3 linked regions of the Sus scrofa genome follow. The protein of the gene in region 1 purifies or fractionates together with the protein of each later gene. This does not show direct contact. Links are inferred from orthologs where the notes say so. Each region holds a gene or a part of one and is shown on either strand. Other genes may lie near its edges. The genes, in order: AGO1, TNRC6A and STUB1.

Region 1 (4,272 bases):
TTAGTTCTGCCGTCTTTCAACAACCAGTGATATTCCTGGGAGCGGATGTTACACACCCCCCGGCAGGGGACGGGAAAAAGCCTTCTATCACAGCAGTGAGTGATACTTTTCAACTTCCTCATAAGCTTCTCCTCTTTGCTCTGAGCCCCCAGGACTACACATGATTTCCTTCCCTCAGCTCTGGCACTTGAGCCTTCACAAGATCTTTGTATTTCAGCTCATCATTTCCATTAACCACTCCTTTGGTAACTTAATAAAACTAACTCTGTTTGATGTCTTCTTTTCAAAGAGAGCAGTGAGAGTGTAGCCTGTGGCCAATGACTTGGCCTCATCTCTGTCACTCTTTTCTGTGTTTGAGTTTCCTTCTCTCTGTGCCCACTTTTGGGATATGGCTACTACCATATCTCTTCTCTGGAATCCCTTTTAAGGGAGTTATTTGGTTGTTGGGATTGTCCTTTACTCTTCCCCATCCCTACCCCTGATCCATTTAGTAGATTAGATAACTCTCCATTTGCTCTCCTGACTTCTTTGCTTGCTGTCTCATAGGAGCTTCTGAATTGCTAAAGGGCCCAGGCCTTCTTTTTACTTCTCTTTCCTCATGTTTCTCTAGGCAGACTGGGCCTATCTCAGTAAATGCAGGGTAACCCTATACTTTGCTTACCTTTACTTTCCTTGTGGCCATTCATCCTGGGCTGTGGCCACTGTCCCCTTAGAAAATAATATTAATGTTTGCACCACCCTCAAGAAGCCTTTTCACTATGGTTCCTAGGGTAGATTAGCACTTGAATTAAAACTTGTGTTTCGATGAGCTCACTCTTTGAGTTAGTAGTGCCAAAGCTTCACATGCCTCTACAAGGGGTAGGAAAATCAGACTTATCGAGTACCTATTATGGGATAGGCCCTGTATAAGGTGCCTTCTGTATACCACAACAGCACTGCAAGTAAGTAGTATTCTTAACTCCATTTGAGAGGAGAACAAGAAGATCAAAGTAAGTAATTTCCATATTTGTGATAGTATAGATGTTGAAACCAGGGATTATTGAATGCAGAAAAACCCACTCATTTGATTGCATAGTTTTCTTAATAAGAAGCCTTTTCCCAAACCCACAATCTAACATGCTGGGAGGGTGGAGGTTCTAGGAGCTGATCCTGTCCCTTTGATTATCAGGTCGTAGGTAGTATGGATGCCCACCCCAGCCGTTACTGTGCTACTGTGCGGGTGCAGCGACCGCGGCAGGAGATCATTGAAGATTTATCCTACATGGTACGTGAGCTGCTCATCCAGTTCTACAAGTCCACCCGCTTCAAGCCTACCCGCATCATCTTCTACCGAGATGGGGTTCCTGAAGGCCAGCTCCCCCAGGTAGGGCCCACAATAGGAAAAGGAAACCTTCACATTGAGGCCAGGGGGCCAGATGGTAGTAGAGTACTGCTGCCTTTTCTAAGCTTTTGGTACTGGGAGGTACTGCTACTTAGGGAGGGAGATTAAGTGGAATAGACTTGGAAGCAGACATGACAACTGAGAGATGGTGTGTACAATCACCGATAGACCTTTCTTGTAGTAGAAGACCCTCCTCAGTGCCTTTTTACTAGTTCATGTTGAAGACTGATTCTTCAGACCAGTGGTTCTCAACTTTGGCATCCATCAAAATCTTTTGAAGGGCTTATTAAAATAGACTGTAGGGCTCTATCCTTAGTTTCTGATTCAGTGAGTCTAAGATAGGACCCTAGAATTTGTAGTTCTGACAAGTTCCTGGGTGATGCTGCTGGTCTGCAGGCCACATTGCTGAAGGTCAGTGCTGTTGACCTTCCTTCACAATGTTCCTCCAATCCTTTCTCCCTTCTGTTGTGTAGCTACTATTCTGAAGTGGTCTCCTTGACTACTATTTAATAAATAGTAATATAACTATCATTTATTGGGTATCTCTTATGTGCCATGAACTGTGCTAAGCATTTTGTATGTGTTCTATTTAATGCCTACAATAGCCCTATGAAATAATAATAATAATTACTATTCCATTTGATAAATGAGGAAACTGAGGCTTGAAAATGTTAAATGATTTCTTCGGTGTCACTCAGGGTAATAAGTGGTGGAACTGGGATTCAGACAAATTAGTCTGATTCCAAAGTCTATGGTCTTGACACTATGCTAAATTTCCTCAAAGTTATCCAGTATTTCCTAAAATACCAGAGAAATTTATCATAATACGTCTGTGTTCATAAATGTCTAGTGACTTCATATAGCCTGGGGTTAAAATTCAAACTACTTAGAAAAGCAATCACAGTTATTAAGCCCATACTAGGTTTTTTAATGCTTTCTCTTAATAATTTATTTTAGTCTTCACAACAGCTTTGTGAGGCTGAGCTTATTGATAACTATAGTTGATATGGAGAAAATGAGACTTAAAAGGGTTAAGTAACTTGGTTGAGGCAATACAAGTAGATAAAGTTTGGGTTTAAACCTAGTTCTAATTGATTCCAAATATTATTAACTTTAGCCATACAGTTTTTACTCCCTGTATCTGACATCCAAGGCCACAAGGCAGCTACTGCCTACCTATGGTTTTTCACCTGTGGTAGCTAGTCCCTCTTCTTATAATACTGCTTTTTTGTAGAACTGAGTTCATCTAATCCCTCTATACCTATTTCTGAACTGTGTATTTGCTCCTCTATGGTGGTCCCAATGCTGTATGCTTTTAGAGCTCATGAGCAACTCACATTTTCCTCTTGATTCTGAAATTGACCTTTCTGTGGGCATTATGATTTCTCTGTAAATCTTGGTTCTGTGTCTTGATGTTAGGTTTCATTATGCATAGGAACCAGGTAGTGTTCTCTGTTGATACTAAGCCTCCAAGCTAAGGTTTTATAGGAACATGTCAGGTGAACTGTCTACAGGCATACCTTATTGTGCTTCGCTTCATTATGCTTCACTGATATTGCATATTTTTTACAAATAGAAGGTTTGTGGCAGCCTTGCATCCAGCAAGTCTATCAGCACTGTTTTTCCAATAGCTCACTTCATGTTTCTGTGTCACATTTTGATAATTCTTGAATATTTCAAACTTTTTATTATTATTTTATTTGTTATGGTGGTCTGTGATCAGTGATCTTTGGTATTACTATTAAGATTCACTGAAGGCTCAGGTGATGGTTAGCATGTTTTAGCCATAAAGTTATTTTTAATTAAGGTATGTACATTGGAGTTTTTTTTGGACATAATGCTACTGCACACTTAAATAGACTCTAGTATAATATTAATGTAATTTTGATATCCACTGAGAAACCAAAAAATTTTTATAGTGGTCTGGAACTGAACCCACAACATCTCCAGGGTATGCCTGTATAAGGCTAATTTTGGCAGGAAGGGCTCGTCATGTCTAATGGTTGGGTGTCAGCTTATAAAGGGAGTCTGAACAAAAAGCCATATTACAACCCCATAGAAAGATGTGTAAACTCAAGAGGAGCTCTATGTCTCTTTGTCTCCCTCCTCACCCTGTGCCTAGATCCTCCACTATGAGCTGCTGGCCATTCGTGATGCCTGCATCAAACTGGAAAAGGACTACCAGCCTGGGATCACTTATATTGTGGTGCAGAAACGCCATCATACCCGCCTTTTTTGTGCTGACAAGAATGAGCGAGTGAGTGAGGGATTGAGGAAGCCACCCATACCCTCGACTTGTCTCCCTTCTCTAATAAGGAAGAAGCCCTTGAAATAAAATCTGAGAATTTAGTCCTTGGCCTGTCCTTCCTCCCTGGCCCCTTTCTTCCCCTTAGCTCTTGTGGTCCTTCCTCTGCCACTTGCTTCCCTTTGTTTCCCCCTTCTCCCCTCCTTCCCTTATACTTCATCTCCCTCCTCCTAGCTCCCTGGCCTATAGACCCCATATATAGACCAGCTCCCAGAGAAGGGAAAGGGAACTGCCATTTATTGAACTTCTCCTATGTGCCAGACACTGTACAAGGCGTCTTCCTCACAGCAGCCCTGTGAGGTAGGTACTATTATTATCTCCAATTTAACCTTAGAAAGGTTAAGTGACTTGCTAAGATCACACAGCTAATAAATGGTGAAAGCAGCAGTTAAACACAGGTCTGTGTAACTTTAGAAGCCTGTTATTTCAATACCCAATACCCTCTGGGAATAGCAACTTTCACTTTACTATTGGGATTCTGGTGGCGTCAGATTAGAATTGAGTTGGGGCCCTGGTTAGGGCCAGGCAGGTCTTGGGATCTTGGTTGTCTTTGTCTCTATACAGATTGGGAAGAGTGGTAACATCC
Region 2 (4,272 bases), on another chromosome or scaffold:
TCTATGTTTAGTTTTCTGAGGCATCTCCATACTGTTTCCCACAGTGGTTGCACCAATGTACAATCCCACCAACAGTGTCATAGGCTTCCTTTTTCTCCACACCCTCCCCAGCACTTAACTGTTTGTGGACTTTTGGATGATGACCATTCTGGCTGGTGTAAGGTGGTGCCTCATAGTGGTTTTGATTTGCATTTCTCTAAGAATGAGTGATGTTGAACATCTTTTCATGTGTGTTTTGGCCATCCGTTTGTGAAAGACTGAGTCCTTGAATGTCCTGTGTACATCCCAGCATTGAGGAAGCACAAAGAAGTGTTCTCAGCTGTGGAGGGAGGAGAACCCAGAATGGGCCTTTGGTAAGGATGTGGAGGCAGAGAGCTGTGCCCACTCTTTAAAGACTTGTCTAAGTAGGATGGTAGCCCGGGAGCTGGCTGTTTCAAGCAAGGATTTTGCAGGACGGAGGGTTTCCATGAGAAGAGGTCATCCTTATTGCAGAGATGTCAGAATGAGGAGAGCAGAGCAAGCCCTGAGAGAGGGGAAGATGTTTCCCATCTGCTGAATGGAGTATGAAAGTAGAGTCATAAGCATTAAATTTGAATGCACATTCAGAATGTGCATGACTGGTATGCTGTAAGCACCTACTAGATGGTGGTTTGTCCTGATTGTGTTTTTGTTATTTGTTTCTGGAAACAACGTTTTTATGATAAAAGTAAGCAGATTAGAGATGACCAAAGATGTCTTATAACCTTCTATTTATGAGTCTCTTTTCAAGTTAACCAGTGCAGTAAAATAACAGTATCTCGTAAACACAACTTGTGGGGAATATAATATTTACTAAATACTAATGCGTTTTTCATGTCTTTGTCAAGGCAGAAGTCATTTCCGTATTTTTCATTACATTGTAAATTTACCTGAAACGGACTAGGTTAATTATCTTTCTACTTGATGACATAGTCTCCTGCATTTATTAGGAATGTTACAAGACAAACGAATGGAGATAGATAAACATAGCCTAAATATTGGTGATTACAATCGAACGGTCGGGAAAGGCCCTGGTTCTCGGCCTCAGATTTCCAAAGAGTCTTCCATGGAACGCAGTCCTTATTTTGATAAGGTAAATTATTTGTTTGTTTTTTGTTTGTTTTACCCCTGTGGCTAAGAAAGGAATACTCTTAATAGCATGATTTTTTCATTAATATTTTAGAACATTTAATACAATGGAAAACGTTATAGTCCAGTGCCAGCTCCTACTACTGGATTCGTAGTTCTTTGTCCTTTTATGTCTCAATTGAGCCTAGGGATTGTGTTTATATTTTCCTCTTAATCCCATAAAATATGTTTGGTTCTTTTTATGTACTCTAGAATTAACACTAATCTGATCTCTTCTGTTTTCTACCTGTTTCCTGTTGATGCTGGAATGTCATGTGACTTCTCTTCTGTTCCTGCAATGATTTCTCCCTTCCACTTGTTTGCTTGGCTGGTGTTGCACATCTTTCTGTCTGTCCAATCAGGATGGCATTGTAGCAGATGAATCCCAAAACATGCAGTTTATGTCCAGTCAAAGCATGAAGCTTCCCCCTTCAAATAGTGCACTACCTAACCAGGCCCTTGGCTCCATAGCAGGGCTGGGTATGCAAAACTTGAATTCTGTTAGACAGGTAAGTCCACGTGTGTATTTTAGGCTCTCTGTTGAATGATTTGTAGAAGTAATAAGATCTCTCTTACATGTAGTTGCTGTGTTTAAGTCAATATTACAGTGTGCTAAAGAAGTGTTTGTCCTTGAAGAATCCCAGTGTTATGTGGTGGTTGTTGTTGGTTTTCGTAGAATGGCAATCCCAGTATGTTTGGTGTTGGAAACACAGCAGCACAACCCCGGGGCATGCAGCAGCCTCCAGCACAACCTCTCAGTTCATCTCAGCCTAATCTCCGTGCTCAAGTGCCTCCTCCATTACTCTCCCCTCAGGTAAAAAAGAAACGTCCACTGTATTCTTTTCTGTTTACTTGGTGGAGAACTTTGAAGAAGTTTATATTTGAATGAGACCACTGGGTTGATCAACGTAGTATTGGTTGGAAACTTTGAGATACACCTGATCCTGAATGAGTTATTATTACAACAGGATGGAGGTAGGGTGCAGAAAATTTACCAAAGATAATTTAAATCTCAGATGTATTCTTTTCATACAGAGAGGAGGAAGAAGATAATAGCAAAGTAAATTGACCGGCTTAAGATTCATTTCTGCTATGTTTCACTTAAGCTCATGAAAATACATGTGAACAATAAATTAGTGAAGTCAAGAATAACAATTAGAAAGAACACAACCCCCATAATAGTTGACAAATTTCATTGGTCTCTTGATAGTTTAAAATACTCAGTATACATTCTGTTGGCTCGATTTATTTTATCAACATTATTAACTTACCGTTGTGATCCCAAGGTTCCAGTTTCATTGCTGAAGTATGCACCAAACAACGGTGGCCTGAATCCGCTCTTTGGCCCTCAACAGGTAGCCATGCTGAACCAGCTATCCCAACTAAACCAGCTTTCTCAGATCTCCCAGTTACAGGTATACATTTATTGAATGTCTTCTGTCTGCTCAACACTAGAATCTGTGCGGGAGCTGTTGCGCTAAACAAAGCGGGCACAGTCGTGGCCCGCAGTCTGTGAGTGGAGACCGTGAACTCAAAGGGCGGGGTGCTGAGTGAGCAAGCCCGGCCAAGGCTGGGGTGGTGGTGGGGGTGGGATGACTAGGAAAACCTGCCCTGATGAAGTGGAAGTTTAGATTGAGCAGAGGACTGAATTCACCAGCGTGGCTGGAGGCCGGAGGGTCCAAACAAGAGATCGTATTAGATGAGGCAGGATATGCTGGCATTGACGAGATGGCGCCATGCCTTTGTAGGTACCTCTGCCACAGCCACTCGGAAACTAACTAGTCTGATGATGGGATACTGACTGACCTTTTTAAATCTTCCCCCCAGCGATTGTTAGCGCAGCAGCAAAGGGCGCAGAATCAGAGAAGCGTGCCTTCTGGGAACCGGCAGCAGCAAGACCAGCAGGTAGATCTGATCCTTCCCCGTGCTTCACTTACACTCAGCTGAGGTCACTTCCATGGTAACAAGAGATTTGAAGTACTTCTATTAAAATATGAAAAATACTCTTCAGTGAGTCTTCTGTCTGCCCCAAGGTCTTCATTGGTGTACAGTGATTATTCACCTTCCTCCTGAGAAGGAAGTGAATTCAAAAATGAAGAGGAATTCGAGTGTCTGTAAAGGCTTTTCTCCACAAATTTTCCCAATCATCTTGTCGTTTCAAGGGTCGACCTCTTAGTGTGCAGCAGCAGATGATGCAACAGTCTCGTCAACTTGATCCAAACCTGTTGGTGAAGCAGCAGACTCCACCATCTCAGCAGCAGTCACTCCATCAGCCAGCCATGAAGTCTTTCCTTGAAAATGTCATGCCCCACACTACACCTGAGCTGCAAAAAGGGCCATCACCAATAAATGCTTTCAGCAACTTCCCTATAGGTGGGTTTCTCCATGGCCAGAGCATCTGGCTGGTGCTTGGCCATCACAGGTCTACATGCTGCTCTCTTACCTGTCCAGGGCTGTTCTTTACCTGCTCCCTCTCTGCTGTCTTTGTGCTTCAGGAAGACCAGTCTCTGTTCAAGAAAATCACGCTATTTCAAAAATTCCATGCTCATTCGAAGTGGGTTAGAATAAAGATGTTATTTCTTTCCAAGGCTCAGATATCTTCATTGTAGCGTATGAAGAGGACAGGAGGGCTAAAATGACGTTACTGTTCCAGTCACATCTGAGTTTCCCTTATTTGTTTAAATATTTATTTATAAATGATCACCGGCATGAGTGTAGAAAATACAGATAAGACAAGGGATTGCATTTGCAGTGACTTGCCCCCCTCCCTTTTAAAATTGTGTTTCCAGGAGTTCCCGTCGTGGCTCAGCAGTTAACAGATCTGACTAGCAGCCATGAGGATGCAGGCTCGGATCCTGCACTGCTGTGGCTGTGGTGTAGGCCAGCACTTACAGCTCCGATTCAACCCCTAGCCTGGGAACCTGCATATGCCATGAGTGCAGCCCTAAAAAAGTAAAACTATGTTTCCAGGCTTTTCGCTCCCTCTGGGAATTTTAGGCTTACGTGTCTCCTTCATCCTTAGGCCCTTTTTCCTATGCCTTTGAATATATGTTGACCTTTGATTGTTCATATTCTTCTACTCATTTTACTTTTCCCCTTTTCCTTACCATGCTTTCATATAAAAAT
Region 3 (4,372 bases), on another chromosome or scaffold:
CCTGTATCCCCCTGAGAAGACACCCGAGTTCCATCCCAACAAGACCACACTGGCTTGGCTCCGGGACACATACCCAGCCCTGGCACCATCTGCACGGCCCCTGGAATGCACCATCCAGGCCGGTGAGGTCAGTGGTTGGCAGGCAGGGGCTGGGCCGGGCCAAGGGCCTGCAACCAATCCCTGTGCCTTTCTCACCCCATCCACTAGGTGCTGTATTTCCCTGACCGATGGTGGCACGCCACACTCAACCTTGACATCAGCGTCTTCATCTCTACGTTCCTCAGCTAACCCAGGGGGTGGCTGGTAAGCCGTTGCACACCAGCACACGCCCCCATAGTGCTCACAGATTTTATTACAGGGACAGTGGTGGCAGCAGCAACCTCGGCCTGGCCCACCCTCACCTGCCGCTTCTGGCACAGGAGGATGGGGGAGCCTCATGGCCCAGCAGAACTGGTGGGGCTGGGGCTGGGGATACCAGGGTGGGGATCCAGGGACACGAACTATGTACAGAGGCTAGGGGCTGCTGCCCCAAGGCCCTCCCAAGAAGCCAGGATACTGGGCAGGGTGGGTGAGGGGCCCACCCACTTGCCCTGCCTCAGTAGTCCTCCACCCAGCCATTCTCCGAGATGAACGCATCAATGACCTCCTTCATGGCCAGGTTGGGGATGAGCTGTTCCTGGGTCAGGGGGCTCCGAGTCACAGGGTCAAAGTGGCCCACGCGCTGCAGTGGCAACAGGATCAGAATGAGAAGATGCCCAGTGGGTGTGGGCCCTGCCCCCAGCGGCTACGGACCCTTACCTGCAGGTGCTCCTCAATGTCCTTGCGGTCATAGGTGATGCCACTGGGCGTGATGCACGGCTCCCGCATCAGCTCGAAGCTGATCTTGCCACACAGGTAGTCAGGGATGTCTCGCTTCTGCAGCACCCAAGCTCAGGTCAGGAGCGGGAAGGGGCACTGCCCTGGCTCCTGCTACCCACAGGGCCCAGGGAACAGGCAGCTTACCTTTCTCTTCTCATCCACCTGGGAGAAGAGCTCATCCATGTCTGCCAAGTACTTATCCTACAAAAAACCAGGCAGCTCCAGAGAAGCTTGAGCCCCTGTCGCCTTTCCCCAGGCACCCCGCCCACAAAGACCCAACAGGAGCCAGGGTCACCTCACATCACACACGTGCAAATACACACAGGACCCACACGTGGGCAGGGCACCCTCACATGCTTGGCCTCGATGCAGGCCTGCTGGGCCCGGATGTGGCCGTCATCCTCTTCACCCTCGTGGTTCCGCTGACACTCTTCCAGCTCCCTGGGGTGGACCACACAGCTGATCAGAGATGGGTCTGGCCAGAGGAGATCAGACTCCACCTTGGGCCGATTCAGGCCCTGTTCCCTCATCTCCTGCTTTCCCAGGCTGGTCCTCAATAAACGCTTATGTTCACGACTCAGAATGGTGACTTTTGCGAGTTCCCGTCATGGCTCAGTGGTTAATGAATCCGACTAGGAACCATGAGATTGCAGGTTTGAACCTCGGCCTTGCTCAGTGGGTTAACGATCCGACGTTGTCAAGAACTGGTGTAGGTCGCAGACAACGGCTCGGATCCCGCATTGCTGTGGCTCTGGCGTAGGCCGGCGGCTAGAGCTCCGATTGGACCCCTAGCCTGGGAACCTTCACATGATACAGGAGGGGCCCTAGAAATGGCGAAAAGACACGAAAACAAAAAAACAAGGAAAAAAAGAATGGTGACTTTGGGAGGTGGGGTGGAGCCCATGAACACCACAGCCCACCTCTCACGCTCAGCCACAATGAGTCGAGTGAGGTAAGAGTGCAGCTCGTTCTCCTGGTGGATGCGCCGCTCCTCGATGCTGTTCCAGCGTTTCTTCTTGGCAATGCGCAAAGCACTGGGGATGTCATCCCCAAAATTGAGCCGCTGCTCCTTGGCCAGGTTGTAGGCTGGGGGAACAAAGGATCCGGGTAACCCTCGAGCCAGTCCCCCCGCCTGGTCCCAGGCACCCTGGAACAGGCCAGCCAGCAAGCCCACCTCGCTGCAGGTTGGCAATAGCCTCATCATAGCTCTCCATCTCCAACTGGCACTGCCCCAGGAAGAAGTGTGCTTTCACAGACTGGCTGTCCAGTTCCAGGGCGCGCCGGCAGTCAGCCAGGGCTTGCTCGTGCTGCTGCATCTTCAGGTAGCACAGTGCCCGGTTGGTGTAATACACTGCCACCAAGGGATTCCGGGTCTGGGGACCAAGGCCGGACCAGCCAACATGAGGGAGTGAGTTCAGCCTGCCCTTTCTGTCCTAGCTTGAGACCCACGGCTGGAATCAAGACACTAGAGGTTTCTCAGCACCCAGGTCTCTGGGCGCGGAGGAAGGGTGGAGCCTACCTGAGCCCGCCCCCTCGACTCCAACGAGTCTTGCGAAGACAGGTTTCCCAGACTCCTGAAAATCCCCAGCTTTGGGCTTGGACCCCCAGCCCAGTGGGCTGCAAGCACCCTGAAGCTCCCACCCGCCACAGTTCTCTGACCACCAACCCTGGCTCGGGAGCCGTAGCCTTGGCCTCTCTGAGAGAAGATCACTCAGTCCTCAGAGCCGAAGTGCATCCCCTCCGAAAGTCCGGTAGGGGCGGCCAGACAGGGGCTCCGGGGAGGACGCGGGGCCGAAGCCGCGGCCCGGCCCGGCCCCTCCTCCGGCCCCGACGCCTGCCCCCTCCCGCGGCCCGGGCGCACTCACGATGGCGCGGCCGTAGCAGGCCGCCGCCTCCGGGTACTTGCGGCCCACGAAGAGCCGGTTGCCCTGCTCCTTTAGCTCCTGCGCGCTCGGGCTCTTCTCCGGGCTGCCGCCGCCGGCGCCCAGCCGCGCGCCGCTCTCCTTCTCCTCCTTGCCCTTCATGGCGCCGCGCGGCACGGCCTGGGCTCCGCTCCCAGGCTCCGCGCCCGGCCCGCCCAGCGCCCGCACCCCGAGCCCGCGATCCGCTCGGGCCCAGTCCTGCGCTCTGCCACCGGAACTTCCGGCCGTGCGGTTGGGCGGGGCCTCGCGTGCCCCCAACGCGCCGCGGGGGCGGGGTTGGCAGGGAGCGTGCGCTCGCGGCGACTCGACGCGCGGCGTCGGCAACCTGAGGAGAGCCGAGGTCGTCGGGGCGGAAGCCCACCCCGGCGCCCCGGCGCCCCGCCCCCGAAGCCCTGCCCCGGCGCGTGGACATGGCGGCGGCCCGCGGCCTTTGGGGCTGTGAGGACCCGAGCCTCTGGGCCGCCGTCCTGGGCCGCCACGGGGAAGTGCTCCGAGCGCGCGCGGGCCCCCAGGGGCGGCTGGAAGCCCTGGACCGATGGTAGGGTGATAGGGGCATCGGGTGGGCGGGGGACCCCCGTGGCCCGGAGTCGCCGTCACAGCTCTTCTCCAGGTATCGAGAGGCGTTGCCCGCAGCCATCGAGGGCCGGGAGGAGAAGCACGTGACTCGAGAAGAGCTGGGGCAGCTGCTGGCTTGGAAGCTGGCTGTGAGGAACTTCCCACTTGGGGGGCGGGGCCTCCTTCCGGGGCGGGGCGTAGCGGTGTGGGCGTGGGCGTGGCTCGCCCGGGGGCGGGCCCTCGCGCTGTGGGGCGGGGCCCCTAGCGAGGTCCAGCACCCGTGACCCCCACCCCGACTTGACCAGCGGGGCCGCTTCAGGCCGCGCCTGCATCAGCTCGTCAGCGCCAACGCCCCGGAGTTGGTGGTGCAGCACTCGGCTGCCGCCTTCCCCCTCCTGCCAGACATGCACGCCGCGGTCACGGAATTACGCGCCCTGCGGGGCGTGGGCCCGGCCACGGCCTCGGGTTAGTCGGGAGAGCCTGGCGCCCTGGCAGGGTCGCGGGCGGAACCTGGTCTGTTAGTACATTTGCCTGGGACATCGCCTGATGGCCACGTTCATGACACCAAGAGCTGTTGCGAATGGCAGCCCCGAAGGTGTCTTGAGGCTGGTGGGGCCTGAGTGTTGGCTGTTTGCTGCCCATAGCGGTCTTGGCTGCCGGAGCTCCCGAGGTGGCAGCTTTCATGTCTGAGGAGGCAGTGGCCGCGGTGCCCGGTCTGCCAGCCCTGCAGTACACCCTCAAGCACTACCTGCTGTACCTGAGCCGGGTGCAGGAGCGAGCCACAGCTCTGAGCCATGGTGAGGAGACTGCTGGCAGCGAGGGAGGGCATTCAGGACTCTGGTCAGGGTGGAGGGTGCAGAGCTTCCCAGCAGAGCAGGGTGACCTGGGCCCCAGACTCCCTGTTGCCCCTCCTTAGGCAGTGCCTCAGGGCTGTGGACCCCGCATCGTGTGGAGACAGCCCTGTGGACCTGGGCTATAGGGCAGAAGCTGTGCCCTGACCTGCTGCCCGACCTCGGTCCCAGCCCAGCCGCCCCCGA

The links.
Region 2: the proteins of AGO1 (region 1) and TNRC6A purify together in Homo sapiens (affinity purification with mass spectrometry; 10 studies listed by BioGRID and IntAct, with this or other methods). This does not show direct contact. The link is inferred for Sus scrofa from reciprocal best matches to the Homo sapiens genes AGO1 and TNRC6A.
Region 3: the proteins of AGO1 (region 1) and STUB1 purify together in Homo sapiens (affinity purification with mass spectrometry; 3 studies listed by BioGRID and IntAct, with this or other methods). This does not show direct contact. The link is inferred for Sus scrofa from reciprocal best matches to the Homo sapiens genes AGO1 and STUB1.

What each region holds. Positions count from the first base shown.
Region 1 is NC_010448.4:92,065,312-92,069,583, forward strand, and holds part of AGO1 (protein argonaute-1), read left to right. Parts: intron 1-4; coding exon 5-95; intron 96-1,168; coding exon 1,169-1,363; intron 1,364-3,503; coding exon 3,504-3,638; intron 3,639-3,860; exon of another isoform or gene 3,861-3,986; intron 3,987-4,250; coding exon 4,251-4,272.
Region 2 is NW_018084874.1:603,216-607,487, reverse strand, and holds part of TNRC6A (trinucleotide repeat-containing gene 6A protein), read left to right. Parts: intron 1-968; coding exon 969-1,111; intron 1,112-1,508; coding exon 1,509-1,655; intron 1,656-1,822; coding exon 1,823-1,960; intron 1,961-2,432; coding exon 2,433-2,561; intron 2,562-2,973; coding exon 2,974-3,051; intron 3,052-3,308; coding exon 3,309-3,519; intron 3,520-4,272.
Region 3 is NC_010445.4:41,092,180-41,096,551, forward strand, and holds STUB1 (E3 ubiquitin-protein ligase CHIP), read right to left. Parts: upstream 3,003-4,372; 5' UTR 2,883-3,002; coding exon 2,724-2,882; intron 2,232-2,723; coding exon 2,033-2,231; intron 1,945-2,032; coding exon 1,779-1,944; intron 1,442-1,778; exon of another isoform or gene 1,300-1,441; coding exon 1,212-1,299; intron 1,060-1,211; coding exon 1,003-1,059; intron 916-1,002; coding exon 799-915; intron 722-798; coding exon 596-721; 3' UTR 335-595; downstream 1-334. Other genes in the region: JMJD8 (jmjC domain-containing protein 8), read left to right, coding at 1-127, 208-288; uncharacterized protein LOC100524737, read left to right, coding at 3,191-3,318, 3,391-3,484, 3,641-3,800, 3,980-4,132, 4,252-4,372. UniProt on the Homo sapiens protein: E3 ubiquitin-protein ligase which targets misfolded chaperone substrates towards proteasomal degradation.